4 linked regions of the Saccharomyces cerevisiae S288C genome follow. Changing the gene in region 1 together with any one later gene gives a genetic interaction. Each region holds a gene or a part of one and is shown in the gene's direction. Other genes may lie near its edges. The genes, in order: MAS1, SMF1, CYM1 and SMF2.

Region 1 (7,129 bases):
AGTATGTAGCTATTGTCGAGTCGTCCGGTCGTTTCAACAAACCAAATAACTATGAAATTAAATATGGTCCTAAATATAATTTCTTGATTTCACATGGTGGTAGGGAGATTACTAAGTTCAAAGAAGTTGACGAAAATTGTATTGTTTTACAATTGGTTACAGGAAAAAAACATCAGATTCGAAATCACGTCTCTCAAATTTTAAATCAGCCCATATTAAACGACAAGAGACATGGCAGCACTGTCAATTTTCCAGAGTTGTTCAATGACCAAATAGCGTTGCATTCAGCGTGCATAATAACGAAAATTGGCCTGCAAACTAAAACGCACTTGATACCTATGGAACACAATAATACTGGCCAACTTTGGTCAAGAAAATACGTCAATGAAGAGGGTGAGTTCACTTTGCCCATAAAAGAAGTCCTGTTGGAAAACTGGGACCAGTAAAATAAGCAATAAATAATCGGTTATTAAATTATTTCTAATACACATATATAACGAGAATAAAAAAGGTAGTCACCACTAACCAAACCATATTGATTAATTGATGATTACTGCCTCTTTTTTTCCACAGGTTTGTTATCCCATAATGATTTTAAAGAGGCAATAAGACCAGCTTCTTGACTCTCTAATTTATATATACCGACGAACGATAAAAAGGAGCCCAAGCTCAATAAATACATCGCGTAATGATGTACCTTTCCATAGACTCTTTCAGAAATATAGTCTATAATGCAAGACTGAAATCCGATATGACAATGACCTAGCAGGACCAAGGAAAGAAATGTGTCGGTAAAAGTGGAAATAGGGCCTGTAGTGACCAAGGGAACTGCGATCAGCGGAAGAACCGCTAAGGACAGTCCGCGCTCGACAATCCAATGGTACGAACCCTGAGCTCTGCTTTCGGGCGGCATATAAGAGGAATCATTTGCGGTCCCACTCACACCTCCAGGTTTCTGTGGAATCTTTGGCAGAAAAGGAATGGTAAAGGATCTGGCAATTGAAGTATGAAAAGCCCTTATTCTGCAGAGTGGTTTCAAAAACTTAGTCGATGACATTCCTACTTTCCTAAGAATTGGGGCAACCTTTTTGAGAATCGTTGCTGATTCATTAGAACTGATAAACGGTCTGTCCACTGGGGACTGAAAATATATAGGTTTGCTTCTATGAAATTCGACGTCAAAATTAAGGGATACCTATGGCCAGCGCCCTTCAACTGACGATTTTTAGTTATCATACGCGTCCCTTATTATCTTAAACCGTAATAAAAAATCGTTACTTCGGATAAGGGTACTCCAATCTGGATGTGAGAGTCTGATAGTACCATGTTAGAGCCGCGTTGAAGGTGCGAATCAGGGTTTTATTCTCCTTAAACTTGATCCCGTCCAAAGGAGTTAAGAAGTAAAATGCACGGCTTTACTAAGACTATATTTACGTATTAAATTCCTCAACACGTAGTGAGGAAAGCTAAAATGCTGAGCTTAATTTCTCAGCCAACAATGGGTGATACTACTGTTCAGTGCACAGATTAGATGACCAATATTATTTTCACGTATTTAGTGATATTCGTAATCGAGCTGGACTCATCTCTTTAGTAATAAGAAGTGAATTTGAACGCTATGGATAAATCATGATATCTTGCTCTCAGGCATCAAACTAGTGCGCAAAGTGATAGGTGATCATACAATGTTTTCAAGAACAGCATCCAAGTTCCGTAATACACGGAGGCTTTTAAGTACAATTTCCTCACAAATTCCAGGAACCAGAACCTCTAAACTTCCTAATGGGTTGACAATTGCCACAGAGTACATCCCCAACACATCTTCGGCTACTGTTGGAATATTTGTCGATGCTGGTTCTAGGGCAGAAAACGTAAAAAACAATGGTACAGCGCATTTTCTAGAACACTTGGCTTTCAAGGGTACTCAGAATAGGTCACAACAAGGAATTGAATTGGAAATTGAAAATATCGGATCTCATTTGAATGCATATACATCAAGAGAAAACACAGTTTATTATGCTAAGTCCCTACAAGAAGATATCCCAAAGGCTGTTGATATTCTAAGTGATATTTTGACTAAGTCAGTTTTAGATAATAGTGCTATTGAGAGAGAAAGGGATGTCATCATCAGAGAAAGTGAAGAGGTGGACAAGATGTATGATGAAGTTGTTTTTGACCATCTTCATGAGATTACGTATAAGGACCAACCTTTAGGAAGAACCATTCTGGGTCCTATAAAAAACATAAAATCAATAACAAGAACTGATTTGAAAGACTATATAACCAAGAACTATAAAGGCGACAGAATGGTATTGGCAGGTGCGGGCGCTGTTGATCATGAAAAATTGGTACAGTATGCTCAAAAATACTTTGGCCATGTGCCCAAATCTGAATCGCCTGTCCCGTTGGGATCACCAAGGGGCCCATTACCAGTTTTTTGTAGAGGTGAAAGGTTTATCAAAGAAAACACGTTACCTACAACACATATTGCTATCGCATTAGAAGGCGTGTCATGGTCTGCACCTGATTATTTTGTAGCTCTGGCAACACAAGCGATTGTTGGTAACTGGGACAGAGCCATTGGCACAGGTACAAACTCCCCCTCTCCATTAGCTGTTGCAGCAAGTCAAAATGGTTCTTTGGCTAATTCTTATATGTCATTTTCCACCTCTTACGCTGATTCAGGTCTGTGGGGAATGTACATAGTAACTGATTCTAATGAGCATAACGTGCAGTTAATTGTTAATGAGATCCTGAAAGAGTGGAAGAGAATAAAATCTGGCAAAATATCGGATGCAGAGGTGAATAGGGCAAAAGCTCAGCTAAAGGCAGCTCTGTTGCTATCGTTGGATGGATCGACAGCCATTGTAGAAGATATAGGCAGACAAGTGGTGACCACAGGTAAAAGATTATCACCAGAAGAAGTTTTCGAGCAGGTTGATAAAATCACTAAGGATGATATTATTATGTGGGCAAATTACAGATTACAAAACAAACCAGTTTCAATGGTTGCCCTAGGAAATACATCCACTGTCCCTAATGTATCCTATATCGAAGAAAAACTGAACCAATGACCACGCCGATTTATTAGTAAGTTCATTTCACATCTCTGCTAATTTCTAATTTCTCTTCATACTTGTATAAAGTTCTATGTCAATAAATTCTTGTTCAAATGAGATGTTGCTACATAAAAAATATGAATAGATATCGGCGGCTCTAGTACCCATTCCCCAAAACACGATGTCGGTATATTAACAGCACGTGTATTTTCTTTTTTGAAGGATACATTAATACTTTCTTCCTAAAACTGCACTTATAGTGGGGTGTGAAAGGGCCCTTCCCGTATTCAATATTAAAGCAGCCCTTCAGATTGCAAAAAATGCACAATAAATTTGTTAATATAAGCCACAAGCCAAAAAAAAAAAAGTGATGCAATTGTATATACTTAACATAAAGATTTTAAGTTATCCGTTACCATTGCATACAGAATTATCCAGATAATACTGTTTACTATGCTCATCGATCGTTTCATATTGGTCATTGCCTTGAAAAAAAAGCACGTGAAAAAAATACTGTGAGACCTTTTCTTGCAATATCTCGATCAGATAGCATCTGTAGCTTTCCATTTAGCTGAACACATCACACTGATCTGATAAACACCATTATATCTTCGGTATTATTTACTGAATTTTCCCTTATAGCAGCAAGGGAAAGCAATAATAAACGTGCTACTAAAAGTTTTTTTAGTCATCGCTCAATGGAGGTCAGCACAATACTGTGTGATTGGTCATAATAATTGCATTGTAGAATATCTGCCAATGAATATGTACCTACCTCTTCATATCTCTGAGCAGTAAATACCTCTCGATTTCGCTGCTTTTTCGCCAGGAACATTAAGCTGTGCAAAAAAATAAATCTTCGACTTCCTATATCCTGCAGCAGCACCAGTTGAAAACAACTGTAGCCAGAAAAAGTCAACGGACCTGAAATATAAGCTGATAAACTACCTTCTCATTCGTAAAGTACTTAACAAAAAATAATGATGACCTTCCAGTGTAGAAGTTTATCATAGGGAAGGAAATTCAATTCGAGAAATACGATTCTAATAACTATGGAACTACCCTTAATTAGTCCTAAAAAGATTGATTACGCAGACAGTATTTGTGTTACCCGCCCTTTAATATTCGTCCAAAACGGTAAAATAGGTAGATAGGACAGATGCAGAACTCATCAGGGGTAACACCATAGAATCTAGAAATTGAACGTAGGGTAACTCTAATATTCAATCCATATATAGGTAAAAAGAAATAAACATCACGTGATATGTAATACCTCTAATGCACTACTACCTTCTGTTCATAATACAGTTTATGTAAAAACAATAAATTTCGCCAGGAGAGTTTGGCTGGGGCGGCACATCTGTTAAACGATAACGCAGATGTCCTAAGGGGGACTCATGGAGAACAGAAATCTCCAGTAGAACAAAAGGGTAAAAGTCCCCTTGATTTTGATTTTCAGTGTGAATACAAACCATGAAAGTGTGGCCTATCGATCCTTTAGTCCCTCGGAATTTGAGGCTAGAGGTGCCAGAAAAGTTACCACAGGGATAACTGGCTTGTGGCAGTCAAGCGTTCATAGCGACATTGCTTTTTGATTCTTCGATGTCGGCTCTTCCTATCATACCGAAGCAGAATTCGGTAAGCGTTGGATTGTTCACCCACTAATAGGGAACGTGAGCTGGGTTTAGACCGTCGTGAGACAGGTTAGTTTTACCCTACTGATGAATGTTACCGCAATAGTAATTGAACTTAGTACGAGAGGAACAGTTCATTCGGATAATTGGTTTTTGCGGCTGTCTGATCAGGCATTGCCGCGAAGCTACCATCCGCTGGATTATGGCTGAACGCCTCTAAGTCAGAATCCATGCTAGAACGCGGTGATTTCTTTGCTCCACACAATATAGATGGATACGAATAAGGCGTCCTTGTGGCGTCGCTGAACCATAGCAGGCTAGCAACGGTGCTCTTGGCGGAAAGGCCTTGGGTGCTTGCCGGCGGATAGCAATGTCATTTTGAGTGGGGATAAATCATTTGTATACGACTTGGATGTACAACGGGGTATTGTAAGCAGTAGAGTAGCCTTGTTGTTACGATCTGCTGAGATTAAGCCTTTGTTGTCTGATTTGTTGGCACGAGCCGGCGGGAGCGGGCTCATACTAACGAAGACGAACCAAAAGATACACAGTAGCGGGACGAGAGTCTCGCAGCTGTCTGGCGGGCGGCGAAGTGCGGGTAACGCAGTAGCGGCGCTGTGGGCGCTGCTCGAGCGTTCTGGCAGAGAGGCGGTCCGGGTAAGCGTGTGCTGCATCGTGGCTCTCAGGTCTGTTTCGCTGGTCTGTGAGCGCTGCGTGTGCGTGTGCGTGTGCTAAGACGGGGTCCGGGTAACGTGCTTGCGCGCGGAAAAAAAAAAAAGATTGCAGCACCTGAGTTTCGCGTATGGTCACCCACTACACTACTCGGTCAGGCTCTTACCAGCTTAACTACAGTTGATCGGACGGGAAACGGTGCTTTCTGGTAGATATGGCCGCAACCGAAATAGTTAGGTGTGGCAGCCGTACATATGGAAGCCGGGCGATGGCTCCGCCACGTGCAAAGTGCAGGAGCTTTGGAAAGAGCGTGCATATAGTGATGAAAACAGAGAGCACGGTTGCGAACGGAGGGTCTCACAATGTCTCAAAGGATAAATCTCTTGGTTTGCGGGCCGCATACAAGATATGATTGTAGTTTTTTCAATGGCTCTACTGTCCCACTGCTGTACAACAGAAAATGAGAGATCAGAGAAATAGTATTCCGGAAGCCAGTGGTGTTTACTTATTAGTTTTTTGACGCCACTGCGCGAGTTGCTGCCTAGCTGTTCCTTGGCCAACGCATATTGGAACTTCATTCGACTGATATGCTTACTCAGAGGTCCATTACTTCAAGAATTGTCTCACCTATCGGGCTTGGCGTTTGTACAAGAAGAAACTTTCATCACCTTTGTTTCGCCACCAAATGAAAAAAAAAACTTGCATGGCTTAGGTGGTTCTTTGTCAGAAATATCTTCTAAGGATCAAGAGTCTTACGTGATTCTAATCCCTTGGCAAGTCAGATCTCAAATATGCTCACTCGCAGATGAGTAGCAATGAATGCGACCAAGTGACTAGTGACTGGTGACGACATGAGCCAAGCTGGAACCAGCAGCTTTCACGTCGGCTTATAGCTCTCTATGGGGCAATCAACCACTCATAGTGACTGAAGATCTTTTTAATATAATTACATTGCTAAAAACGTCATACCGCCTTGTGAGCACGATAAACAGCATATGCATTGAGCCTTGTTATTCTTCGGAACTGGGGATAGTAAAATGCGACCCGCTTAGGATGATCAAGCTATCTTTGGGACGGAGTTTTGTCATGGGAGTGGTCATCCTACTGGTGATGCTTCAACATTTGATTTACTAAATTTTGAAATCGGCCGCAGAATAAAACTATTATGTCCAAACAATTGATGGTCGAACCAACGTTAAGGGTTTCAAGTATTGAATTGAACTTTTATGAGTTCTATAATTTCGTTGCGCAAATTCAACTAAACCACCAATATCCCCCCTACAACGCTACACTTTATACCGATAGAGGAATAACGCATAGAGCCTTCGTAGAATTCTTCAACTCGTACGTGATGGGGATTCTAAACCTATCGTCATGTCGCTGTACAAGGCTGCTGCCTGCTTTCAAATTCCCAATTTTACCATGTCCGTTTCGCTGAGCCGAATCGTCACACAAGGTAATTAGTTCTGGGTATCGCTTCAGTATAGCACTGGTTTTTTCCTTGTAAAACCACAGTCTAACAATTAAATGAAGCTTTTCGAAGAAATTAGACCATGTTAGACTGAAAGCAAAGACTCCGGCCCGTTCTGAGGTAAGTTCAATGAAATTGGACAGTTTCTTTTCAAGGTTAGGTTTTGTGTTCGAAAAAAATAGATTACCGCACCTCCTTTCCAAACCCCATGAGTTTCCATTAAGGAAGAGCAACGTCAATAATACCACCTTTTGCAGATGTGATTCAACTCAAGATGCTGTAATCTTTCCCTT
Region 2 (7,856 bases), on another chromosome or scaffold:
AACTGTTGCAACCTGGTTTTTAAAAAGAAGGGGTATAGCAACATCTATAAGTACCATGGGGGGTTCAATAGGGGGTATAGTTTTCCCTATTATGCTGAGAAAGTTATATAAAGAAGTGGGCTTTCAATGGGCCATTAGAATCCTATCATTCATTTGTTTAACATGCCTCATTTGTGCTTCAGTTTTGGCTAGAGAAAGAACTAAACCGGTCGTTCAACCATTCAAATCCAAGGCGGAAGTAGCAAAGTGGTACATTTCCTCTGTGTTCAATTGGAGATATTTTTTGGAAGGAAAATTCTTGTTCGTCGCAATAGGCGCTTCTTTTGCAGAAAGTTCCCTAACTTCATGCGCTACATATTTAGCATCTTATTCTATGACAAGAGGAAACACAGAAAATGTTGCTTATACCATGATCACTGCTTCGAATGCTGTTGGTATACTTGGAAGGTATATACCAGGCTATTTTGCGGATAAGTTCATCGGGAGATTCAATGTAGAAATTATCACCATTTCAATGGCTGCCTTATTTAATTTTGTCATGTGGCTGCCATTTGGCGGTAATACAAAGGTACTTTGGGCGTACGTTTGTTTGTGGGGGTTTTCGACGGGTTCTATCCTATCACTGACACCCGTTTGCATCGGGCAGATATCTAAAACTACTGATTTTGGTAAACGTTATGCAACGGTATATCTATTGCAAGCGTTGGTAACGATTCCGGTTTTACCTATCGGCGGTACCTTAATCGGTAAAGGTACAGTTGCAAATTATAACCATTTTATAATATTCAATTCAGCGTTAATGGCGGCAGGTGCGGCATGTTATATAATATCAAGGCATATTTGCGTTGGTGCGAAGCTTTGTAAGTTTTAAGGTCAGCGTTCAGAAGCGTTCCAATAGGGGGGGGGGGGGGTATTTCGTTGATACCTATGTGGCTATATAGTCGATCTAGCTTTAAAAACTCTAAAGCATATATACATATATACATATTTAGCGTCATGCCAAGAATTCATAATTTCGAAGACTGTTTTCTACATATCTTATGTGGTGTACGGATATGAATTTTTTTACCGAAGACAATAATGCATGGGTGTTAATTCTATTTTTTTTTTTTTCTAATTCAGAATGAAATTTTTTTCTTGCTGGAGATTACAGTGGAAATTTCGCTCCAACACACGCACTCTCTCTGACTTGGTGCTGCCGTGAGATTCTGGTTCCTCAAGGAATATTGTATGAGATAATTTAAAACAAATTGAGTTGAAGATTCATCAATTCTGCCATTTTGGATCCATCACAAGAAGAGATCATCAAGCTTACGGATTCACAATGGGTATCGATCACACTTCCAAGCAACACAAGAGATCTGGTCACAGAACTGCTCCAAAGTCTGACAATGTCTACTTGAAATTGTTAGTCAAATTATACACTTTCTTAGCTCGTATGTTCAAGAATAATATCAAGGGTTTTAACCAACGCCAATTATGGTTAGAAGGATTCTGTTACATTGAATATAATAGATTATCCTGAACTTTGGTAAGTTCATTGGTTTTCTATAAATATTCGTTATGGTTTGCTGAAAAATATTGGTTAATGTTTTTCGCGATCATCTAGCTTTGCTTCTGATGTGACAAATTATTGGTCAATTTATTGAACTGAATCTGGCTAAAATAGTCATACCAGAAGAAGCTAGACGTATTAAAATTCTGCGAGTGCAAACGGGTATATTTGAGGAACGATATGTTTCTTTTACATCACGTTTTGTGCGGTATTGCAAACCAGTGAGCAGAATCTTTTTCTAATTTAATGAAATATTTGTACGGAAAACTATTGTTTTCCGGTCCTTCGATCCATTAGTTACTAACATTTTTTCATTTTTTTTTTTTAGGTCGTACTGATGCTCCATTCAACAAGGTTGTCTTGAAGGCTTTGTTCTTGTCTAAGATCAACAGACCACCTGTTTCTGTCTCTAGAATTGCTAGAGCTTTGAAGCAAGAAGGTGCTGCTAACAAGACTGTTGTCGTTGTTGGTACTGTTACTGACGATGCCAGAATCTTTGAATTCCCAAAGACCACTGTTGCTGCTTTGAGATTCACTGCTGGTGCCAGAGCCAAGATTGTTAAGGCTGGTGGTGAATGTATCACTTTGGATCAATTAGCTGTCAGAGCTCCAAAGGGTCAAAACACTTTGATCTTGAGAGGTCCAAGAAACTCCAGAGAAGCTGTCAGACACTTCGGTATGGGTCCACACAAGGGTAAGGCTCCAAGAATCTTGTCCACCGGTAGAAAGTTCGAAAGAGCTAGAGGTAGAAGAAGATCTAAGGGTTTCAAGGTGTAAGTTAACTGAAATGAAAATTTCATATTTACTTTTTTATTGTTACTCATTTGTAATTCATAAACTACATACACTTTCAATCGTTTCTTTCAAACTACATAATTTTTACTGGCGATCAATAACGCATTTAGTTCATAAAGTGAGTCAAAGTTAACACTAGAATATTTGCTACACCATCAATAGGCTAGACCATAGTTGAAAACTTTCATAATAAATTCTTCCGTTTTCAATCTTCATATACTGTGTCTCTAACCATGATACCGTGACACAACTACATCCGTACACATGTGACGTTCGTTCAACCCGTACATTTATATAAAACCGTTCTGGCGGCCTTTTATTTTTTTACATTTCTTATGATCGGGATTGCAGAACGCCGTGAAATTTTTCAATGTGAGGTTCGGCCTTGTTTGCAAAAGCCCTATTGAGATACCGGAAAGATATAGGTGAAATGAAGAAAACTATGGGTTGTATATCTAATACCCCGGTGCGTTTATTAATATTTTAGCTTGAAAGCGAAGTGATACGATCGACAAATAGAGTAAAAATGCCAGGTGTTTCCGTTAGGTACGTAAAAATGACATATCATAATGATTATTACTATATGTTTCGAGTGGTTAGATGGAAATAAAACGCAGTCATTCCAGCAGCATAGACACGCAAGCAAAGTACTTCTTCGTCAAGTTAAATAGCACCCATGGTTAAATCAATGATATATCAACTGTCCCATAATAATTGAAACAAAATATTGATCAAATTTCGCGAATGAGTGCAATGTGTAAATATATGGAAGAAGAGGGAGATTAAGGGTAGTGGTGCTATTTGCTCTTTGTTATTACTAGGATTTCAATTCCTTCCGATAAGTTCTCATGAAACGTAATGGTTAATGAAAGTATTTTTTTTAAACTGTATCATTTACTAACAATAACTTTTTTGTTTTGATTTTGTTTTCTACAGAGACGTTGCTGCTCAAGATTTCATTAATGCTTACGCTTCTTTCTTGCAAAGACAAGGTAAGCTAGAAGTTCCAGGTTACGTTGACATTGTCAAGACCTCTTCTGGTAACGAAATGCCACCACAAGATGCCGAAGGTTGGTTCTACAAGCGTGCTGCCTCTGTTGCCAGACACATTTACATGAGAAAACAAGTTGGTGTTGGTAAATTGAACAAATTATACGGTGGTGCCAAGAGCAGAGGTGTTAGACCATACAAGCACATTGACGCTTCCGGTTCTATCAACAGAAAGGTTTTGCAAGCTTTGGAAAAGATTGGTATCGTCGAAATCTCTCCAAAGGGTGGTAGAAGAATCTCTGAAAACGGTCAAAGAGATTTGGATCGTATTGCCGCTCAAACTTTGGAAGAAGACGAATAAATATAAAATCTATAATTTATATATATATACTACTACTACAATTATCATCATACAAGTAATAATAAAGTTTAAAAGCTACAACGAGGAGGGGAATCCTATTGCGAAGTTTGGTGTCACATGGTTTGAAGAGCCTTGTTAACGCGCTCTTCTCAGTTCTACTTTCTTCTTCAATTTTGTTGGCCGATTTTCTTCTTTATTTGGCTAGCCAGTAATTTTTTTTACTGCATATAGTAACCGCAACGCCAGTAGCTTGGAAGGAGCGTTGTTTAAACGACAGCCGTAAACTTAGAATAGTACAGAGTACTTCTGTAGTAGTAATGCGCGCCAGAAACCAGCTTGCTTAGATGTTAAATCATCGGAATCAATCCTGTTCGCATTCCTGTGCCGAAAATATTTCGACGTACTACGTGGACCCTAGCGTCCCTAAATGCAACAGTTTTTTCTAATTTAGGATTTGTTAACTCCGCCGGGGTGATTTGATGCTGCAATATAAATATACATAGAATAATATTTGGCTGCTCATCATTGTGCGAGCATATTAATATTTCATGAATAGGTAGAAAGATATATATCAGCAGAAAAACTAACTTTCTCAATTAGGTCAAAATGGTGAACGTTGGTCCTTCTCATGCTGCAGTTGCTGTGGATGCTAGCGAAGCCCGCAAAAGAAATATTTCAGAAGAAGTATTCGAACTGAGGGATAAGAAAGATTCTACAGTGGTAATTGAGGGTGAAGCCCCGGTAAGAACTTTTACCAGTAGCTCTAGTAACCATGAAAGAGAGGATACGTATGTTTCTAAAAGGCAGGTAATGAGAGATATTTTTGCTAAATACTTGAAGTTCATTGGACCTGGATTGATGGTTAGTGTGGCTTACATCGATCCCGGTAATTACTCTACTGCCGTCGATGCAGGTGCCTCTAATCAATTTTCCCTACTTTGTATCATTTTGTTATCAAACTTTATTGCCATATTTTTGCAATGTCTGTGTATCAAGTTGGGTTCCGTTACGGGACTAGATCTAAGTCGAGCTTGCAGAGAGTATTTACCACGGTGGCTCAACTGGACATTGTATTTTTTTGCAGAATGTGCCGTTATAGCCACCGATATAGCTGAAGTGATTGGTACAGCGATTGCCTTGAATATCCTGATCAAAGTGCCCCTTCCAGCGGGCGTGGCCATTACTGTTGTGGATGTGTTTTTGATTATGTTTACATATAAACCTGGTGCGTCATCAATTAGGTTCATTAGAATATTTGAATGTTTTGTTGCAGTATTAGTTGTTGGCGTGTGCATTTGTTTCGCAATAGAATTGGCTTATATCCCGAAGAGTACGTCCGTTAAACAAGTGTTCAGAGGATTTGTGCCATCTGCCCAAATGTTTGACCACAATGGTATTTATACCGCTATTTCCATCTTAGGTGCTACTGTTATGCCACATTCGTTGTTTTTGGGTTCCGCTTTAGTGCAGCCAAGGCTTTTAGATTATGACGTTAAACACGGTAATTATACTGTTTCTGAAGAACAAGATAAAGTGAAAAAATCTAAATCCACTGAAGAGATTATGGAAGAAAAATATTTTAATTATAGACCCACGAACGCTGCTATCAAATATTGCATGAAATATTCTATGGTCGAATTAAGCATAACTCTCTTCACCCTAGCGCTTTTCGTCAATTGTGCCATCCTAGTTGTTGCGGGCTCCACTCTATATAACTCACCAGAAGCAGATGGGGCAGATTTGTTTACTATTCATGAATTATTATCAAGAAATCTGGCACCCGCAGCAGGTACGATTTTCATGCTCGCACTTTTATTAAGTGGTCAATCCGCAGGTGTAGTGTGTACTATGTCGGGTCAAATTGTAAGTGAGGGTCATATTAATTGGAAGTTGCAGCCATGGCAAAGAAGATTGGCCACTAGATGTATTTCGATAATCCCTTGTTTGGTCATCTCTATCTGTATCGGTAGAGAAGCTTTATCAAAGGCCTTAAATGCTTCCCAAGTTGTTTTATCCATAGTTCTGCCATTTTTGGTAGCACCTTTAATTTTCTTCACATGTAAAAAATCAATCATGAAAACCGAAATTACCGTCGACCATACTGAAGAAGATAGCCATAACCATCAAAATAACAACGATAGATCTGCAGGTAGCGTAATCGAGCAAGATGGTTCTAGTGGCATGGAGATAGAAAATGGAAAAGATGTCAAAATCGTTTATATGGCAAACAATTGGATTATCACTGTTATTGCTATAATTGTGTGGCTTTTCTTATCTTTACTGAACGTTTATGCCATTGTTCAATTAGGCATGTCTCATGGTGATATCAGTTAATGTCTGCCTCTTACATTCTTGCGCACAATAACATTAAGATTATTTGTAAGCTTTATGACAGCTGTACTTCAAGTAGAGCTTGTGATTATACATTCTAGCATAGTGAAAAAAAAATAATAACTATTCGAAACTAATACACGTACATGTATATATATATTATAAATTGCTTATGCTTATTTAATAGAAGGGTTGTTGAATTATACAAGAAAACTTTTCTCTAGTTTTCTACACTTTTCTTTTTTTTTACCTATTATATGGATGGTAGCCATTATTACGTCTATTGTATCCACCGCGACCACCACGGCCGTTTCTTCTATGGTTTCCACCACTACGGTGATTGTAATCGCGGTCACGATCGTTACGATCACGATCACCGCGATCACGGTTGTAGCCATAACCGCTATTGTGGTCATCATTGTATTGTGATGGGCCCTTTGGACCATTAGGTAAATTCAATGGCGGTGAACCAGAGTCAGTGTTTGATGTATTACCAATAGTTTGGACGTCATTGGATTTATTATTATCGGAATCAGAAGGTGCTGGGGAACCTTGAGTGGCATTTGAATCTTGCTGTGGTTGGTTTAAAGTCATTGCATTAGGTGGCATGGCAAACCCTGGCATCATCATTGCCATTTGCTGCATTTGTTGTTGGTACATTTGAGTATAATCCATACCAGTTTGCTTTTGCATTTGTTGGTAATATTCTTGCATCTTTTGATAGTAATCTGTCATTGCTTGCGGATTCATCATTGGGTTGTAACCGCCCATCATAGGGTTTTGATACATTTGGTTGAAATCGCCTTGGTTACCGAAGTTACCGCCACGACGATTCATGTTGTTTCCACCATTGTTACCACCATTGTTTGATGATTTTTGTTGCATATGTCTTGGCTCAGCTCTCTTGATTTCGATCTTGCGATCTTTGAAATCGATGAATTTATTCTGACAAACTCTGTCAACGGCGTCAGCGGAGTCATACGTCACAAAACCAAAACCTCTTGATTGACCGGTATCCTTATCTAACATCAGTTGCGCATCGATAATCGTACCCCACTGAGAAAAAAATTCTTCAAATTCCTTTGGTCTCACATCAGGACCAATACCACCAACAAAGATTTTACCGGTTTTATCTTGCTCGTCTCTTGGGATAGCTCTTTTTGGGTCGATAACTTTACCATCGAGGATATGTTGTGTCTTTACCACTTCATCAACACTAGAAGGTTTTTCAAAAGATAAGAAACCGAACCCTCTAGATCTACCTGTTGCAGGGTCTTTCATGATTTTCAAATCAGTGACGGTACCATACTTACCAAAATATTCGCGAAGATTATCTTCCGTAGTGTCCCAATTCAGACCACCAATGAACATCTTGCAACTTTCTTTAGACAAATCCGCTTTCGAACGTTCCTCTTTGGTTTGAGTTACTTGCTGTTGAGGTGGTGATTGAGAAGATGGTTGCTGGAATTGTGACATGGTTTGTTGAAGTTGTTCCCAAGGTAAGCCAGAAGGTCCTGCAGAACTAGCGTTGGCATTGGCATTTGCTGATGTAGCGCTTTCTTGTTTTTTTTCATTCTTAGTGTCTTCATTGGAACCTTCCTTGTCATTCGCAGTGCCATCTTGCTTACTAGAAGATGTGTCTTGGTTACTATTATTACTACTACTGTTGTTACTATTTGGATTATTTAGTTTGTTCAAGCTAGAAGATAATGCTTGTAGTGCGGCTAGTTGATCTAATTGCGAGGTACCACTGCCAGCCTTATTTTGTTCTTCTTCTTTTTTGACTTCTTCAGTAGTGGTAGGCTTATCATCGCCGTAGATGTC
Region 3 (9,121 bases), on another chromosome or scaffold:
CCATTTAATGAATGCAAATTCAAATCATTATGATAAACAATGGATGAATCTACTGTAAAATTTACCAGTGGTGATAAGAACTTCCTAAAAGGTGAAAAGTAGTCAGTTAATGTAGGCTCAATTTCCCATGCAACAGGATTCCCATCACCTGACAATAAAGTTACACTTAAATGAATGTTTGGATCATAAGATATTGCGACATCGTTGTTTGTAGAAACGCCTTCACACGTTTTATTCAAATGCGTCCATTCCAATTGGAAAGTGTGCTCTACCAATGTTTGAGCAACAAAAAACGGTAGATCATTACTTAAAACGGCAGCATCGTCGTAATATACTAGTGTTTCTTTGGTGTCGTAAGCTGATGAGTAACCAATAAATTCGTCTAACTTCAAAGTAACGACATGAAACTGGTTGCCTTCACTTTCCATCTGCTCAATAGTCTCATTATATGGAAGAACTTGTAAAGACCAAGGGACCCGTTGCTCCTGAGAATTCAATAAATGGTTAACTTGTACTTGGATAGCGTCATGAACGTCAGGAAATCTGTAAGTATCTGACTTAACATACACCGGTATTACGAGATGAATATCTTGGAATTTGTTATTTTGAAGTGACTCAATGTAATTTATTGGTAGTGATGCTCTATAAACTGTAGTTAGCTTGTACCACAGTGGAACACCTAAAAAGAGATAAATGGCAACAAAGCAAAAACCAACCCATTTTCTTAGATTTGCATTGGACATTATTCTGGCGTGTAATCCTTATCAAAGAGCGGCTCTTTTATCGTTATTTATCCCTTATTAATATTAATGCACACGTACACACTTCAATTAGTACACGAGTTCCCTTTTAAACTTTGTATCTCTGTTATTAAGCTCCACGTAAGGACATCTTTCATTATTTATAACTTCTGGATTACACATCATTTAATACGTAACACAGATTTAACAGGCCATAATAGTACTTATTAGTTTCTTCAACTTAACTTTATAGGAGTTCAAATTCTTTGAAATTAGCCTGACCCAAACTAACAACTATATTTGTAGCTTTTTGCATACTCAAAGGACTAAGATGATAGGATATTGTATATATTCAATTGCACCTCTTAACTGGTACTTTATTTCTTGTGAATGTTCGATATCTTACCGCTTATTCTCTCATTCCATATGAGAACTCTCGTATAGAAAGGGAGACCTTTTTTCACTTGAAAAATGACAATAAGATATCCAAAATAGATCGGCTTGGGACAAAAAAATGGTTAAATTACAAGATTTCTGTAGTTTCTCAACTTTCTAGTATTAATTGGGGGAGGGGAAACTGGTCTACTGCTAGATCAAGTTTCCACTGAGTTATCTCACAAGATAACAAAAAACGGGGTTCATTATCAGTATAGTCAATTATATTATCCTGCCCGTATGTTGAAGAGGAGATTCTCGTTAGAAACTTTAAGTAAAACTTATTTTTGTTAATTTTGCAGCACATTCCATTCAATAAAAGATAGTTTGGTGCAGGGAAATAAAAAAAATTGAAAGACACATAAGAATCTAGAGGTAGTAGTAGTAGTATTACACGAAAGAAGGTCTAATTAAAATCCAATACAGAAGTTTTAACGACTCATCAATTTGGAAATGAAATTCCGTTGTAAAAAGGATGTTAAATGTTATCATGGGATTATTCTATCTACTGGAGTGAAGTCGGGACTCGCAATAAACAATTCTGTTTTCAATCATATACTTTGGGATCTTCTAACACTAAACTTATTAATAAACAAAAACTATACTTAATAAAAGGGAGGGGAGGGAATGGGGAGGAAGTTCTTCAAAAAAAAAACTTTTTCAACATTTAATACGATGTTTTCCTTTTTCATTTGTTCTCAGTCTCATATTTAAGTTTTAAAACAATTCATATCTTTTGTTAATTTCTCCTTTTTTTTTCTCAACTATATAAATGGCTTACCTGGTTGGTGATCTTTCACGTGGAGCATCTCTGGTTCTGTATGCATCTCTTGGAGGACCATAATCGCCTCTTGGACCATCATAACCACCTCTTGAACCACCGTAGCTACCTCTTGGAGGACCGTAATCATTTCTTGGACCACCATAGCCACCTCTGGAATAACCACCTCTTGGACTATCGTAACCACCTCTAGGACTATCGTAACCACCTCTGGAGCCACCATATCCGCCTCTGGAGTAGCCACCGTAGCCACCTCTGGAATAGCCACCGTAACCACCTCTTGGACCACCAAATCCACCTCTGGGGCCACCGAAGCCGCCTCTGGAGAAACCGCCTCTGAAGCCACCTCTGAAGCCGCCTCTGAAGCCGCCGCGACCTCTGAAGCCACCTCTATTTGATCTTCTGATTGGTGGAGGATTGTCATCTCTTTCAACAGTAATGACAGAACCTCTGAATTCAATATTGTTTAATCTCTCCAAAGCTTCGACCAAGATTTCTTCACTAGGGAATTCTAGAGCACCGGTACCATCAAAATCTCTGGTATTGACGCTAGAAAAAGTAGTTTCTAAACTATTTTCCCTGGCTAAATCTTTAAGATCTTGCCATGAACAACCTTCTGGTAAGTTTTTCATGGTGATACGGTATCTCTTGGCAGGCAATTTAGAGTAAACAACTTCCAAAGGTTGGTTAGCAAAACTCTTACCGTGAACTTCTTCAATGGCTTTGGCAGCGGATTCTGCTTCTTCAAATTCAACAAACGCGAAGCCGTTCAAGATCTTGACTTCCTTCATTGGTCCAAATGGACCAAAGATTTCATTCAACTCGGATTCTTGAACGTCCAATGGGAAAGGTCTAACAAACAATCTGGTGTTCGAGAGTTCTCCTTCTTGACGGTGGTGCATTGGTGGGCGACCGTGCATGTGTTCACCTGGAGGAGGAGGAGGATAATATGGTTGGGGTTCAGGTGGTTGGTGGTGCTGGTGGGCCTCTTGGTAGTCTTGGACACTGTGGGATTCTTCGCCTTCATAAATTGGAGCATTAGATGGTGGAGGAACGTCATTTTGTTCTTGTGGAGCTGGTGGTTCTTGTGGAGCAGATTCCTGTGGAGCAGATTCCTGTGGAACTTGTGGTTCTTGTGGAGCATCTGGAGCCTGTGGTGGTTCTTGGTGCTGTTCTTCGACTGGGGCATCGACAACAGATTCTGGTAGTTGCTCTACGTGAGTTTCTTGAGCTTCAGACATTATCCTTATGGTTTTAGCGTAATTGCTTAATTTTGATTCCTTCAAAAGTATATATATTTAGAAGAGAGGAAATTATTTTTCTCATGTCCTTTTTAAATCCCTTTGGGTGGCGAAAAAAAAGAATGTAAAAAATTTTGCCCTTCGTTTACAGTGATAAATATACGGAGGGGCTCTATGATAAAGGTAGTAGTAAATCATTGAATTGTTGAACAAGCATTGACAGATATGATAACAAGCAATTGTAATCAATAAGCCACCAATTAGAAGGCTACTCAAAAGAATAAAGTTACTATAAAATATACTGCGGTATATATGTTGCGGTTTCAGCGATTTGCGTCCTCGTATGCCCAAGCACAGGCCGTTAGAAAATATCCAGTTGGAGGTATATTCCATGGTTATGAAGTGAGAAGAATTCTACCGGTTCCGGAGCTGAGACTCACTGCGGTAGATTTGGTGCACTCCCAGACAGGAGCCGAGCATTTGCATATTGATAGAGACGACAAGAATAATGTGTTCAGCATTGCTTTTAAAACCAACCCTCCAGATTCCACTGGGGTCCCTCATATTCTAGAGCATACAACGTTGTGTGGGTCTGTTAAATATCCAGTTAGGGACCCTTTTTTCAAAATGCTAAATAAATCTCTAGCTAATTTCATGAACGCTATGACAGGTCCAGATTATACATTTTTTCCCTTTTCCACTACGAACCCTCAAGATTTCGCTAATTTAAGAGGTGTTTATTTAGACTCCACCTTGAATCCGCTACTTAAACAAGAAGATTTTGATCAGGAGGGTTGGAGGTTGGAGCATAAAAACATCACAGACCCGGAGAGTAACATTGTTTTCAAAGGTGTTGTCTATAACGAAATGAAAGGTCAAATATCAAATGCCAATTACTATTTCTGGAGTAAATTTCAACAGTCTATTTATCCTTCCCTGAATAACTCCGGCGGAGATCCTATGAAAATTACAGACTTGAGATACGGCGATCTCTTGGATTTCCATCACAAAAATTACCATCCCTCCAATGCAAAAACTTTCACGTACGGTAACTTGCCATTGGTGGATACGTTAAAGCAATTAAATGAGCAGTTCAGTGGTTACGGGAAGAGAGCTCGAAAGGATAAGTTGTTAATGCCTATTGATTTAAAAAAAGACATAGATGTCAAGTTACTGGGTCAAATAGATACTATGCTTCCACCGGAGAAGCAGACAAAAGCCTCAATGACGTGGATTTGTGGAGCGCCACAGGACACATATGATACCTTTTTGTTAAAAGTACTGGGGAATTTATTAATGGATGGCCATTCTTCTGTAATGTATCAAAAATTAATAGAATCAGGAATTGGTTTGGAGTTCTCCGTAAATTCAGGTGTTGAACCAACTACAGCAGTAAATTTGCTAACTGTTGGTATACAGGGCGTGAGTGATATTGAAATATTTAAAGACACTGTAAATAATATTTTTCAAAACCTGTTGGAAACAGAACATCCTTTTGACCGCAAGCGTATCGATGCCATAATTGAACAATTGGAATTATCTAAGAAGGATCAAAAGGCTGACTTTGGACTTCAATTACTCTATTCTATACTACCTGGTTGGACAAACAAAATCGATCCTTTTGAGAGCTTGTTGTTTGAGGACGTTTTGCAAAGATTTAGAGGTGACTTAGAAACGAAAGGTGATACTTTATTCCAAGATTTAATCCGTAAATATATCGTTCATAAACCTTGTTTCACGTTTTCCATTCAGGGATCTGAAGAGTTCTCTAAATCTTTGGATGATGAAGAACAAACAAGACTGAGAGAAAAAATTACTGCCTTGGATGAACAAGACAAGAAAAACATCTTTAAACGTGGTATACTGTTACAGGAGAAACAAAATGAAAAAGAAGATTTATCCTGTTTACCTACCTTACAAATAAAAGACATCCCAAGAGCTGGTGATAAATATTCAATCGAACAGAAGAATAATACAATGTCTAGGATTACTGATACCAATGGTATCACATATGTCAGAGGTAAACGTTTACTAAATGACATAATACCCTTTGAACTCTTCCCATACTTACCTTTATTTGCTGAATCGTTAACTAACCTAGGGACAACAACAGAATCCTTCAGTGAAATAGAAGATCAGATAAAATTACATACGGGTGGTATATCAACACATGTAGAGGTTACATCTGACCCTAACACCACAGAGCCTCGCCTGATTTTCGGGTTTGACGGATGGTCTTTAAATTCGAAGACCGACCACATTTTTGAATTCTGGTCTAAGATCTTACTAGAAACTGATTTCCATAAAAACAGCGATAAATTGAAAGTTCTTATCCGCTTATTAGCATCTTCAAACACATCTTCTGTAGCAGATGCCGGTCATGCATTTGCAAGGGGCTATTCTGCCGCACATTATAGATCAAGTGGAGCTATAAATGAGACCCTCAATGGTATTGAGCAACTACAATTTATAAATAGATTGCACAGCTTGTTAGACAATGAAGAAACTTTCCAAAGAGAAGTTGTCGACAAGCTAACTGAATTGCAAAAGTACATTGTTGATACCAATAACATGAATTTTTTTATCACCTCAGACTCTGATGTTCAAGCGAAAACAGTAGAAAGCCAAATTTCAAAATTCATGGAGAGATTACCTCATGGCAGCTGCTTGCCCAATGGACCAAAGACTTCAGATTATCCTCTTATTGGATCCAAATGTAAACATACTTTGATAAAATTTCCTTTCCAGGTCCATTACACATCCCAAGCTTTATTGGGTGTGCCGTATACACATAAGGATGGCTCTGCACTTCAAGTTATGTCAAATATGCTAACATTCAAACATTTGCACAGAGAAGTCAGAGAAAAGGGTGGTGCTTATGGTGGTGGTGCTTCTTATAGCGCCTTAGCGGGTATTTTCAGTTTCTATTCCTATAGGGATCCTCAGCCTTTGAAGAGTTTAGAAACCTTCAAGAATAGCGGGCGTTATATACTGAACGATGCCAAGTGGGGCGTCACAGACCTTGATGAAGCTAAATTGACAATATTTCAACAAGTAGACGCACCTAAAAGTCCCAAAGGAGAAGGCGTGACGTATTTCATGAGCGGTGTTACAGACGATATGAAACAAGCAAGAAGGGAACAACTCTTAGACGTATCTCTCCTGGACGTTCATAGAGTCGCCGAAAAATATCTACTAAACAAAGAAGGGGTGAGTACGGTCATTGGACCTGGAATCGAGGGGAAGACTGTTTCACCAAATTGGGAGGTGAAGGAACTGTAGATATATAATTTAATCCTGTAAATATACTGCTTCAAAGTTTCTTGCCGATCTATACTCATCGCTTGTAACGAAGTTAAAATTTTTTTCTTTCACTGAGTGTGGAAAGTGAAAAATTATCACGATGGCAAAAGAGAGGGAAGAGAAGCCCTAGTTACTCGCTGTATTGAAAGGATCAAAAGACCAAAGACCACCAGGAATAATGAGTGAAGTTGCACCAGAGGAGATCATAGAGAATGCAGATGGATCTAGATCTATCATTACATACAAGATTGAAGACGGTGTCAAGTATAAGATTACTCAGAAAGTAAAAGAGGTTAAAGTATTGGAAAAAGTCCATAAATCTGTTGCAGAAAGAAAAAACTGGCATAAATATGGCTCTGAAAAAGGGTCTCCAGCAGGTCCAAGTGCTGTTACAGCAAGATTGGGTGAAGAAGTAGAATTAAGATTGAGTAGGAACTGGAAACAAGCTGAAGAAGAAAGAATACAAAAAGAAAAGGCAAGTCTCACAAAGACCGGTCTACAATGTAGATTATGTGGTAACGACCATATGACCATGAACTGTCCATTCAAGACAATTTTAAGTGAACTTTCAGCATTAGAAGACCCAGCCACTAATGAAGGCGGTGTCGAGGCCGCCAGTGAAGAGAAGGCAGGCCAAGTTGGCGGAGCTGGTTCCATCCCAGGGCAGTATGTTCCACCTTCTCGTCGTGCTGGTGCAAGAGATCCTTCATCCGATGCTTACAGAGACTCTAGAGAACGTGATGATATGTGTACTTTGAAGATTATGCAAGTTAATGAAAATGCCGATGAAAATAGTTTGAGAGAAGAGTTATTGTTCCCATTCGCACCCATTCCAAGAGTTTCTGTCGTTAGAAACAAAGAAACAGGTAAATCAAGAGGTCTCGCCTTTGTTACCTTTTCGAGCGAAGAAGTTGCCGAACAAGCTTTACGTTTCTTGGATGGTAGGGGTTATATGAATTTAATTTTACGTGTTGAATGGTCCAAACCTAAGGTTAAGGAATAGATGCACAGAATATGCTCTGCACTTGTTTTCTAATGTTACTCTTCTCATATAAAAATTGTAGATATTAAGAAAGAAAGTATGTAAACTAATCAATCTATACCTAAAAGAATATTGTTCAATATTCTATAAAGCACGCACGGCATGGTAAAATTTTTAACGATTGTAAGATTACAACAAGTTGCAATCCATTCAAGCTAAAAAATCAAAGCAAGGAAAAGCTCAGAGGCTGTCGTGAATATGTCAAATACCGTAAGAGCCATTTCACCAGATATAACACTATTCAACAAGACATTGACATTCCAAGAAATCTCACAAAACACTAGAGAGGCTGTCATATACATTCATGGAGGTGCATGGAACGATCCTGAGAATACGCCCAATGATTTTAATCAATTAGCCAATACCATCAAATCAATGGATACTGAGTCAACGGTTTGTCAATACTCTATAGAATACAGGTTATCACCAGAGATCACAAATCCAAGAAACTTATATGATGCTGTGTCAAATATAACAAGGCTTGTTAAAGAAAAGGGATTAACGAACATTAATATGGTGGGACATTCCGTTGGAGCTACCTTTATTTGGCAGATATTAGCTGCACTCAAAGATCCTCAAGAAAAAATGAGTGAAGCGCAATTGCAAATGTTGGGACTTTTGCAGATCGTGAAGAGAGTATTTCTATTGGATGGTATATACTCGTTAAAGGAACTGTTGGTAGAATACCCAGAGTATGATTGTTTTACAAGACTTGCCTTCCCTGATGGTATTCAAATGTACGAGGAAGAGCCCTCGAGAGTAATGCCTTACGTGAAGAAAGCCCTTTCTCGCTTCAGTATTGATATGCACCTAGTGCATTCTTATAGCGACGAGTTATTAACGTTAAGACAAACTAATTGTTTAATTTCTTGTCTTCAGGATTATCAGTTAAGTTTCAAGTTGTATTTGGACGATTTGGGTTTGCATAATGATGTTTATAAGAATGGTAAAGTTGCGAAGTATATTTTTGACAATATTTGTTGATAGTTGATTTTATTTCTGCATTTATATATATGTGTGCGTGTGTGTTTTATATATAACTGCCAATGGCCTAAACCCAGATGGATTGGCCACGAGCTTCCATTTTTTTGCCCAGTTTTTCTACTTGATCGTTCCATTCAACCAGTCTGTCCTTCATCTTTGTAATTTGGTCACCACTTATGATTCTTGGTTGGACCCAGGAGATGGTAACGAGTTCATTTACTTGGTCAATAGAACCCTTTAATAGACCCAAACTTATGGCTCTCATGACCAGGTGTTCGACATTATCCTTTGGTAGGTGTGTAGCCTTTGAAATATCTTCAAATGAAAGCATCCTAATATTTTTGACAAAAACTGTTTCAATTAATGTCATTAGGCAAATTTTTTGTCGTAAAAATGATTCATGTTGAGCCAATATAGGAATCTTTGATATTTGAACTTTTATCAATGAGTCGAATTTATCAAAATCACCAACGGTTAGAGCATTTAATAATTGGAAAAGCCAATCGTAATTGGAATCGTTGACTATAGTTTCCATTATTGGATGGTGTAATAGTTCGCCAAAATTATAGATTTTGTCACCTAACAATGCTGAGAT
Region 4 (7,619 bases), on another chromosome or scaffold:
TTGATGCCAGAAACACCTTTCGGATCCGGCAATAAAGCGGAGATTAGCACGCTTTTCGCCGGTCCTACGGATTTAGTGTTGGCTATTGTTGAGATTAGTAATACGCAGAGAATTTTTCTACCGGTGAAGCGACCATCTCAGATTATTAGGTCAAGCAATAACACTTGTTATTAGATGCGTTACGTTCACCTGGACCCTATATAAAGGCATATTTGCCTTACATTTGGTGTATGGTATCACCTTGTATACTAAGAACATATATATGCAGATATAACAACAGGATATGGTTGCAGAATTTCAAATAGCGAGTGCACAGTCATCGGCATTGACATCTACTGAAGAAGAGCATTGTTCAATAAACTCAGACAAAGCCGCAAAACTGGATCTGGAATTGACCAGTGAACGAAAAAATGACGGCAAACAATCGCATGAAGTGACCTTCAACGAGGACATCGCGGACCCAGAAGATATAGCACGGCATATGAGCACCGCCCGCCGGTATTATATTTCCTCGTTAATTACATTCACATCGATGGTAATTACGATGATCTCGTCCAGCTGGACGCTTCCTTCAACGCACATAATCGAACACTTTCATATTTCGCACGAAGTCAGCACTCTGGGAATTACGCTTTATGTGTTTGGGCTCGGTATAGGACCTTTATTTCTGTCTCCACTAAGTGAACTATATGGACGAAGGATCACATTTTTATACGCCCTTACGCTCAGTATCATATGGCAGTGTTTGACCATTTGGTCCAAGACCATTACGGGTGTCATGTTTGGCAGATTTCTATCCGGGTTTTTTGGTTCAGCCTTTCTAAGTGTGGCTGGCGGCGCCATTGCCGATATATTCGACAAAGACCAAATTGGTATTCCTATGGCAATATACACTACATCGGCCTTTTTGGGGCCCTCTTTAGGACCAATCATTGGTGGAGCCTTATACCATCAAAGTTATAAATGGACATTTATCACACTTCTCATCACTTCTGGATGTTGTCTCGTTATGATCATCTTTACCATACCTGAAACCTACAAACCAATGCTGTTAATACGTAAAGCTAAGAGATTGAGGAAAGAGAAAAATGATCAACGGTATTATGCTGTCCTGGAAGTCACCCGCGAACAGACTTCCTTACTTTCCGCAATCTTTCTCTCAACCAAAAGACCCTTTGGCCTGTTACTTCGAGACCGAATGATGGGTGTGCTTTGCTTCTATACTGGATTGGAACTTGCCATAATATATTTATATTTCGTAGCGTTTCCTTATGTGTTCAAGAAACTTTACAACTTTGGGCCCATGGAGATTGCATGCTCCTATATCGGTATTATGGTCGGCATGATACTCTCGGCTCCTACTTGCTTGTTATTCCAAAAAACGTTTGAGTGGAGAGTCAAAAGAAATAATGGCGTCAAGACTCCCGAAATGAGATTCGAGCCTCTGTTCTACGGCGCCTTTTTGACCCCAGTTGGGCTCTTCATTTTTGCATTCACCTGCTACAAGCATGTCCATTGGATTGCACCAATTATAGGCAGTGCAATTTTCGGTTCAGGTGTTTATTTCGTCTTTACCGGTGTTTTTGCGTATACAGTGGATGCCTATAGAAGATATGCAGCTTCTGGAATGGCTTGTAACACATTTGTGAGATGCATAATGGCCGGTGTCTTCCCTCTTTTCGGACTCCAGATGTACAAGTCAATGGGAGTGAATTGGGCCGGCTTTCTCTTGGCAATGGTGACCGTAGCGATGATTCCTGTCCCATTTCTGTTTACCAAATACGGTGCCCGACTGAGAGCCAAGTCGCCGTATGCATGGGATGATTGATTTTTTTGCATATTTTTTCCTTTGGATGTTGCATAATCTTTTCCCGCTTACGTCATTGGTGATAGATTGTTTCGGATCTTCAAAAGGCAACACGCATAGGCCAAAGAAAAAAGAAATTTTGCATTTTTTCATTTTTGCATATTCTCGCATGTTTTCTTTCTTTTTCTCTAGTTTTCGAATGTTTTTGGCTGCAATGTATATTGTATATAAACCATAAAGGTGCAAAATGCCAGATGTACGCGGCCAATCTTAATTTTCTAGTAAAAGTAGCAGCTAAATCTGAAACTCTCTAGCTTGTAATAAACGAAGGATGACTGTACAAATTCCAAAATTATTATTTTTACACGGCTTCTTGCAAAACGGTAAAGTTTTCTCCGAAAAATCATCTGGTATTAGAAAATTATTGAAGAAGGCTAATGTCCAATGTGACTATATTGATGCACCAGTCCTTTTAGAAAAGAAGGACTTGCCATTTGAAATGGATGATGAAAAATGGCAAGCCACCCTAGATGCGGATGTTAACAGAGCCTGGTTCTATCACAGCGAAATCTCTCACGAATTGGATATCTCAGAAGGTTTGAAGTCTGTTGTTGATCACATCAAGGCCAATGGCCCATACGACGGCATTGTCGGTTTCTCTCAAGGTGCCGCATTGTCCTCTATCATCACCAACAAGATCTCAGAGTTAGTTCCAGACCATCCACAATTCAAGGTAAGTGTAGTCATTTCCGGCTATTCCTTCACCGAGCCAGACCCAGAACATCCTGGAGAATTGAGAATAACCGAAAAATTCAGAGACTCATTTGCGGTAAAACCAGACATGAAGACCAAGATGATCTTCATCTATGGTGCTTCTGACCAAGCCGTCCCATCCGTCAGATCCAAGTACCTGTACGATATTTATTTGAAGGCGCAAAATGGTAATAAGGAAAAGGTGTTGGCTTACGAACACCCTGGTGGACATATGGTTCCAAACAAGAAGGACATTATCAGACCAATTGTTGAACAAATAACCTCTTCCTTACAAGAAGCTTCTGAATAAATCGTAGGTTGTTGCTTACCTGCTTTCTAGCTTTTTACTATCACACGCAGGGTGTGTGGAGTGAAATGCTGATCGAGTATGTATATATACATATAAGTACTTTGTATAGAATGAACCACAAGTTTGTAGCATCCTTTCTCTTCTCTTCCATCCTGCGTGCTGCTAACCCCGCCCGGCGCGAAAAATCCACCCGGGGTGCTTTAGCGTGGCTTACGAAGACCTTTTTAAACATACTTATACTCTTTCTCGAAGGAAGAAAATAATGCAGAAGAGAAACAGCAGAAAAAAAAGAAATCATATTAAATTTCAGAATCAGTCTCCTTTTGCTTCTAGTCATTTAACCATCAAACGCGTTTAACCGTTTAGAAAACCCTCTTCAACAACTATTTGTTTTGATACTAATATTAGCACATCTCTATTGCCATTTAACCACTAATTTTCCGTATAGCGTTTATGTTTGATGACGTCCCAAGAATATGAACCTATTCAATGGAGCGATGAATCCCAAACAAATAATGATAGTGTCAACGATGCGTATGCCGACGTGAATACCACTCATGAGTCGCGTCGAAGAACAACTTTGCAGCCAAACTCAACATCCCAGAGCATGATCGGAACATTGAGAAAATATGCTAGGTTCATCGGTCCTGGTTTGATGGTATCTGTATCGTACATGGATCCTGGTAACTATAGTACAGCTGTAGCAGCGGGTTCTGCTCATCGGTACAAGCTTTTATTTTCTGTCTTAGTTTCTAATTTCATGGCTGCTTTTTGGCAGTACCTCTGCGCCAGATTGGGTGCTGTCACTGGCCTAGATCTGGCACAAAATTGTAAGAAACATTTGCCCTTTGGACTTAACATTACTCTTTATATTCTGGCGGAGATGGCAATTATTGCCACAGATCTGGCAGAAGTGGTAGGAACCGCTATTTCTTTGAATATCCTTTTCCATATACCTCTCGCCCTAGGTGTGATACTTACTGTGGTAGACGTTTTAATTGTTCTGCTAGCTTACAAACCTAACGGTTCCATGAAGGGTATCAGAATATTTGAAGCTTTTGTTTCTTTATTGGTGGTTCTTACCGTAGTTTGCTTTACTGTTGAACTGTTTTATGCCAAACTGGGACCTGCCAAAGAAATATTTTCTGGGTTCTTACCCAGTAAAGCCGTTTTTGAAGGTGATGGGTTATACTTAAGTCTGGCAATTCTGGGCGCCACGGTAATGCCTCATTCATTATATTTGGGGTCAGGTGTGGTTCAACCAAGATTAAGAGAGTATGATATCAAAAACGGACATTACTTGCCAGACGCGAATGATATGGATAACAATCACGATAATTACAGGCCATCCTATGAGGCCATCAGTGAAACTCTGCACTTTACTATAACGGAATTACTGATCTCGCTGTTCACGGTGGCATTATTTGTCAATTGTGCCATTCTTATCGTGTCTGGCGCTACACTATACGGGTCCACTCAAAATGCTGAGGAAGCTGACTTATTTTCTATTTACAACTTACTCTGTAGTACTCTTTCCAAGGGAGCGGGAACGGTATTCGTGCTGGCATTGTTGTTTTCAGGACAGAGTGCCGGTATCGTGTGTACGTTGAGTGGACAAATGGTTAGTGAAGGGTTCTTAAATTGGACTGTTTCTCCGGCATTGAGAAGATCCGCCACAAGAGCGGTAGCCATCACGCCTTGTTTGATTTTAGTGCTTGTAGCTGGACGTAGCGGCCTCTCTGGTGCACTAAATGCTTCCCAAGTGGTACTTTCTCTCTTGCTGCCTTTTGTTTCTGCACCTTTACTTTACTTCACTTCAAGCAAGAAGATTATGCGTGTACAGCTTAACCGTACCAAAGAACTTTCAAGAACTACAGACAAAAAACCCGTGGCCGACCGAACCGAAGATGATGAGACCATTGAGCTCGAAGAAATGGGCATAGGCAGCAGCTCACAGGAGCGCAGCTTAGTTTCTCCTGCTCCAGAATACAAAGACATGAGCAATGGAATGATCGTCACCGTGCTCGCAATCATAGTATGGTTGATTATCTCCGGACTGAACTTTTATATGTTACTGGGCTTTACTACGGGCAAAGAAGTACACCTCTAATATAACAATTCTTTAGACTAGTATAAGTATACATTTTATCCAAGAATAATAACAGAAAATTCCAATCAAAAAGTTGGTGTTAGGCTATACTGATGGCCGTATCGCTCCATACGAGCCAATCAGGGCCCCGCGCGTTATTTCCGCCGCTTACAGCTTTCTTTGAATCTCCCTATGAAAAGGGACCTAATTGGTCCGGTCAAAGCATTAATAAAGATCAACAATTGCTCTTGCTTATCAAGGTGCCAGATCTCAAGGTTACCTCATTTCTTTACATTTCATCCACATTTTAGCACACTTATTTATTATTACAATTTGAAAAATTGTATCACTTCTGAGACTTAGTAGCGGAGATAAACAGCCGAACAATTGTATTTGACACATAAACTAATAAATATACAACAATGTTATCAAGGGCCATATTCAGAAATCCAGTTATAAATAGAACTTTATTGAGAGCCAGACCTGGTGCTTATCATGCAACTAGATTGACTAAAAATACGTTTATTCAAAGTAGGAAGTATTCTGACGCACATGATGAAGAAACCTTTGAGGAATTCACCGCAAGATACGAAAAGGAGTTTGATGAAGCCTATGATTTGTTTGAAGTGCAAAGAGTGCTCAACAACTGTTTTTCCTATGATTTAGTTCCTGCTCCTGCTGTTATTGAAAAAGCTTTGAGGGCTGCCAGAAGAGTCAATGACTTACCTACCGCAATTAGAGTATTTGAGGCTTTGAAATACAAGGTGGAGAATGAAGACCAATACAAGGCCTACTTGGATGAATTGAAGGATGTCAGACAAGAATTGGGCGTTCCCTTAAAGGAAGAGCTATTTCCAAGCTCTTCTTAATAATAAGGAAAAAGCTACCACACAACGTCTGTAATTTGTTGTCCTTTTTTTATTTGTGGAAAATTCCTCAATTTGAAATAAGATTCGTATTTATTTTGTAAAACGATTTTAGTTTTTATTTTTTTTTTTTCTTCCCTTTTACCTTATTATTTGTTTTACCCTTTATGGATATTCATCCACTCAGAAACTAATATATCAAAATCAACGATAAGATCACAAGAGGTGAAATAAGAAAAGTAAAAGAAAAATATTTAAATTTAACCATTATGATTTCCACTTTGTTTTCTCTACTCTATTACTTGAACAAACTTTATTTTTGGTAATGAGGGCTGGTCACAGATTACCTTTAATATCCTTTGTTAGTAGCTTTTTTGTGTTCTATTTCAGGAAAGAAGAATGGGAAAAATAATAAAACAATAAATAACTATATAAAAAACAAAAACCTAGAATATACCATTAAAGAATTACTATTCTATTCTGTGCTTCACCGTTGCGTCAATAAATGTGAAGTTGATGTCACTTCATACTAAAAAAATTAAAGACAATTTCCTGAAAAAAATTTTTCCACTGGAGCTCATCGCAAATTTTGAAAAGTAACAAAAAGCGTTTGTATACTGCATAAAGAATAGTGTCTGTTTTATAAGAAATATTAGACAGCAGGCAGATAAACCTACGTTCCAGACTATAAAGTATAAAATGGCTAAAAAGAGTAACTCAAAGAAATCTACGCCTGTAAGTACACCAAGCAAAGAAAAGAAGAAGGTTATTGAAAAGAAATCTTCCACAGCCATTCCTAGGGAAAGAGTTATTAAAGCTGTCAACGAGCTTATAAAATTCACTTCCAAGCCACAAGATGAAAATAATGAAGAAGGAAATAACGGTAAGAAAAACCTATTGGAAGATGATGAAGAAGAATTGAAGAAAGATCTGCAATTAATCGTAGTAAATAATAAATCATTCACCGGTACTTCCAAATCATTCAAATTGAAATTACTAAATGTCAAACATTCGTTTTACAAGCCTTGGAAAGAAGCCAGTGCAACAGCGGTTAAGGATTTCAAAGTTTTATTAATTTTGAAGGATTCTGATATTAAGAAAGTTTCAGAAGATGATTTATTTGATCAATTAGATTCAGAAGGAATCAAGGTTGATGAAATCATTTGCGGGAAAGACTTAAAGACCGTTTACAAGGCATATGAGGCTAGAAACGCTTTTATATCTCAGTTTTCTTTGATTTTGGCTGACGACAGTATAGTTACATCTTTGCCAAAACTTATGGGAGGCAAAGCCTACAACAAAGTAGAAACTACTCCTATATCAATTAGAACACATGCAAATAAGGAATTTTCCTTGACCACTTTGACGAACAATATCAAAAAGGTTTACATGAATCAGTTGCCCGTTAAACTTCCAAGAGGTACCACGTTGAATGTCCATTTGGGTAATTTAGAATGGTTAAGGCCAGAAGAGTTTGTAGATAACGTTGAATTAATTTCTGAACAGTTAATCAAAGCATACCAAATCAGATCCATTTTTATCAAGACCAATAGGTCGCCCGTATTGCCATTATACTATAACCAGGACGTTCTTGATGAACTTGAAGCTAAAAAGGACAAAATCGAAGAAACCCACGAAGATGACATGGTCACCATTGATGGTGTACAAGTTCATTTGTCTACCTTCAACAAGGGTTTGATGGAAATCGCCAATCCTTCCGAATTGGGTTCAATTTTCTCTAAACAAATTAACAATGCAAAAAAGAGATCTTCTAGCGAGCTTGAAAAAGAATCT

What was found.
Region 2: of MAS1 (region 1) and SMF1, extra expression of one rescues a mutant of the other (dosage rescue), as found in Saccharomyces cerevisiae (2 studies listed by BioGRID).
Region 3: mutations in MAS1 (region 1) and CYM1 are lethal when combined (synthetic lethality), as found in Saccharomyces cerevisiae (3 studies listed by BioGRID, with this or other methods).
Region 4: of MAS1 (region 1) and SMF2, extra expression of one rescues a mutant of the other (dosage rescue), as found in Saccharomyces cerevisiae (one study listed by BioGRID).

What each region holds. Positions count from the first base shown.
Region 1 is NC_001144.5:487,811-494,939, reverse strand, and holds MAS1 (mitochondrial processing peptidase), read left to right. Parts: upstream 1-1,685; coding exon 1,686-3,074; downstream 3,075-7,129. Other genes in the region: pseudouridine synthase PUS5, read left to right, coding at 1-446; protein SHH4, read right to left, coding at 551-1,057; RRT15 (Rrt15p), read right to left, coding at 4,346-4,534; YLR162W (uncharacterized protein), read right to left, coding at 5,011-5,367; YLR161W (uncharacterized protein), read right to left, coding at 5,599-5,943. UniProt on the Saccharomyces cerevisiae protein: Catalytic subunit of the essential mitochondrial processing protease (MPP), which cleaves the mitochondrial sequence off newly imported precursors proteins. Preferentially, cleaves after an arginine at position P2.
Region 2 is NC_001147.6:87,871-95,726, reverse strand, and holds SMF1 (divalent metal ion transporter SMF1), read left to right. Parts: upstream 1-4,307; coding exon 4,308-6,035; downstream 6,036-7,856. Other genes in the region: MCH4 (Mch4p), read left to right, coding at 1-871; 60S ribosomal protein eL18 RPL18A, read left to right, coding at 1,325-1,436, 1,884-2,332; 40S ribosomal protein eS19 RPS19A, read left to right, coding at 2,877-2,896, 3,287-3,701; HRP1 (Hrp1p), read right to left, coding at 6,279-7,856. UniProt on the Saccharomyces cerevisiae protein: High-affinity manganese transporter involved in manganese uptake from the extracellular environment. Also contributes to cellular accumulation of other divalent metal ions such as cadmium, cobalt, copper, iron and nickel.
Region 3 is NC_001136.10:1,322,859-1,331,979, reverse strand, and holds CYM1 (pitrilysin family metalloprotease), read left to right. Parts: upstream 1-3,509; coding exon 3,510-6,479; downstream 6,480-9,121. Other genes in the region: GPI-anchor transamidase GPI17, read right to left, coding at 1-743; mRNA-binding protein NPL3, read right to left, coding at 1,953-3,197; TIF35 (translation initiation factor eIF3 core subunit g), read left to right, coding at 6,679-7,503; BNA7 (arylformamidase), read left to right, coding at 7,741-8,526; proteasome regulatory particle lid subunit RPN9, read right to left, coding at 8,594-9,121. UniProt on the Saccharomyces cerevisiae protein: Degrades mitochondrial transit peptides after their cleavage in the intermembrane space or in the matrix, and presequence peptides; clearance of these peptides is required to keep the presequence processing machinery running.
Region 4 is NC_001140.6:204,324-211,942, forward strand, and holds SMF2 (divalent metal ion transporter SMF2), read left to right. Parts: upstream 1-3,330; coding exon 3,331-4,980; downstream 4,981-7,619. Other genes in the region: YHK8 (Yhk8p), read left to right, coding at 284-1,828; FSH1 (putative serine hydrolase), read left to right, coding at 2,139-2,870; YHR050W-A (uncharacterized protein), read left to right, coding at 5,152-5,322; COX6 (cytochrome c oxidase subunit VI), read left to right, coding at 5,382-5,828; CIC1 (Cic1p), read left to right, coding at 6,525-7,619. UniProt on the Saccharomyces cerevisiae protein: High-affinity manganese transporter involved in manganese uptake from the extracellular environment.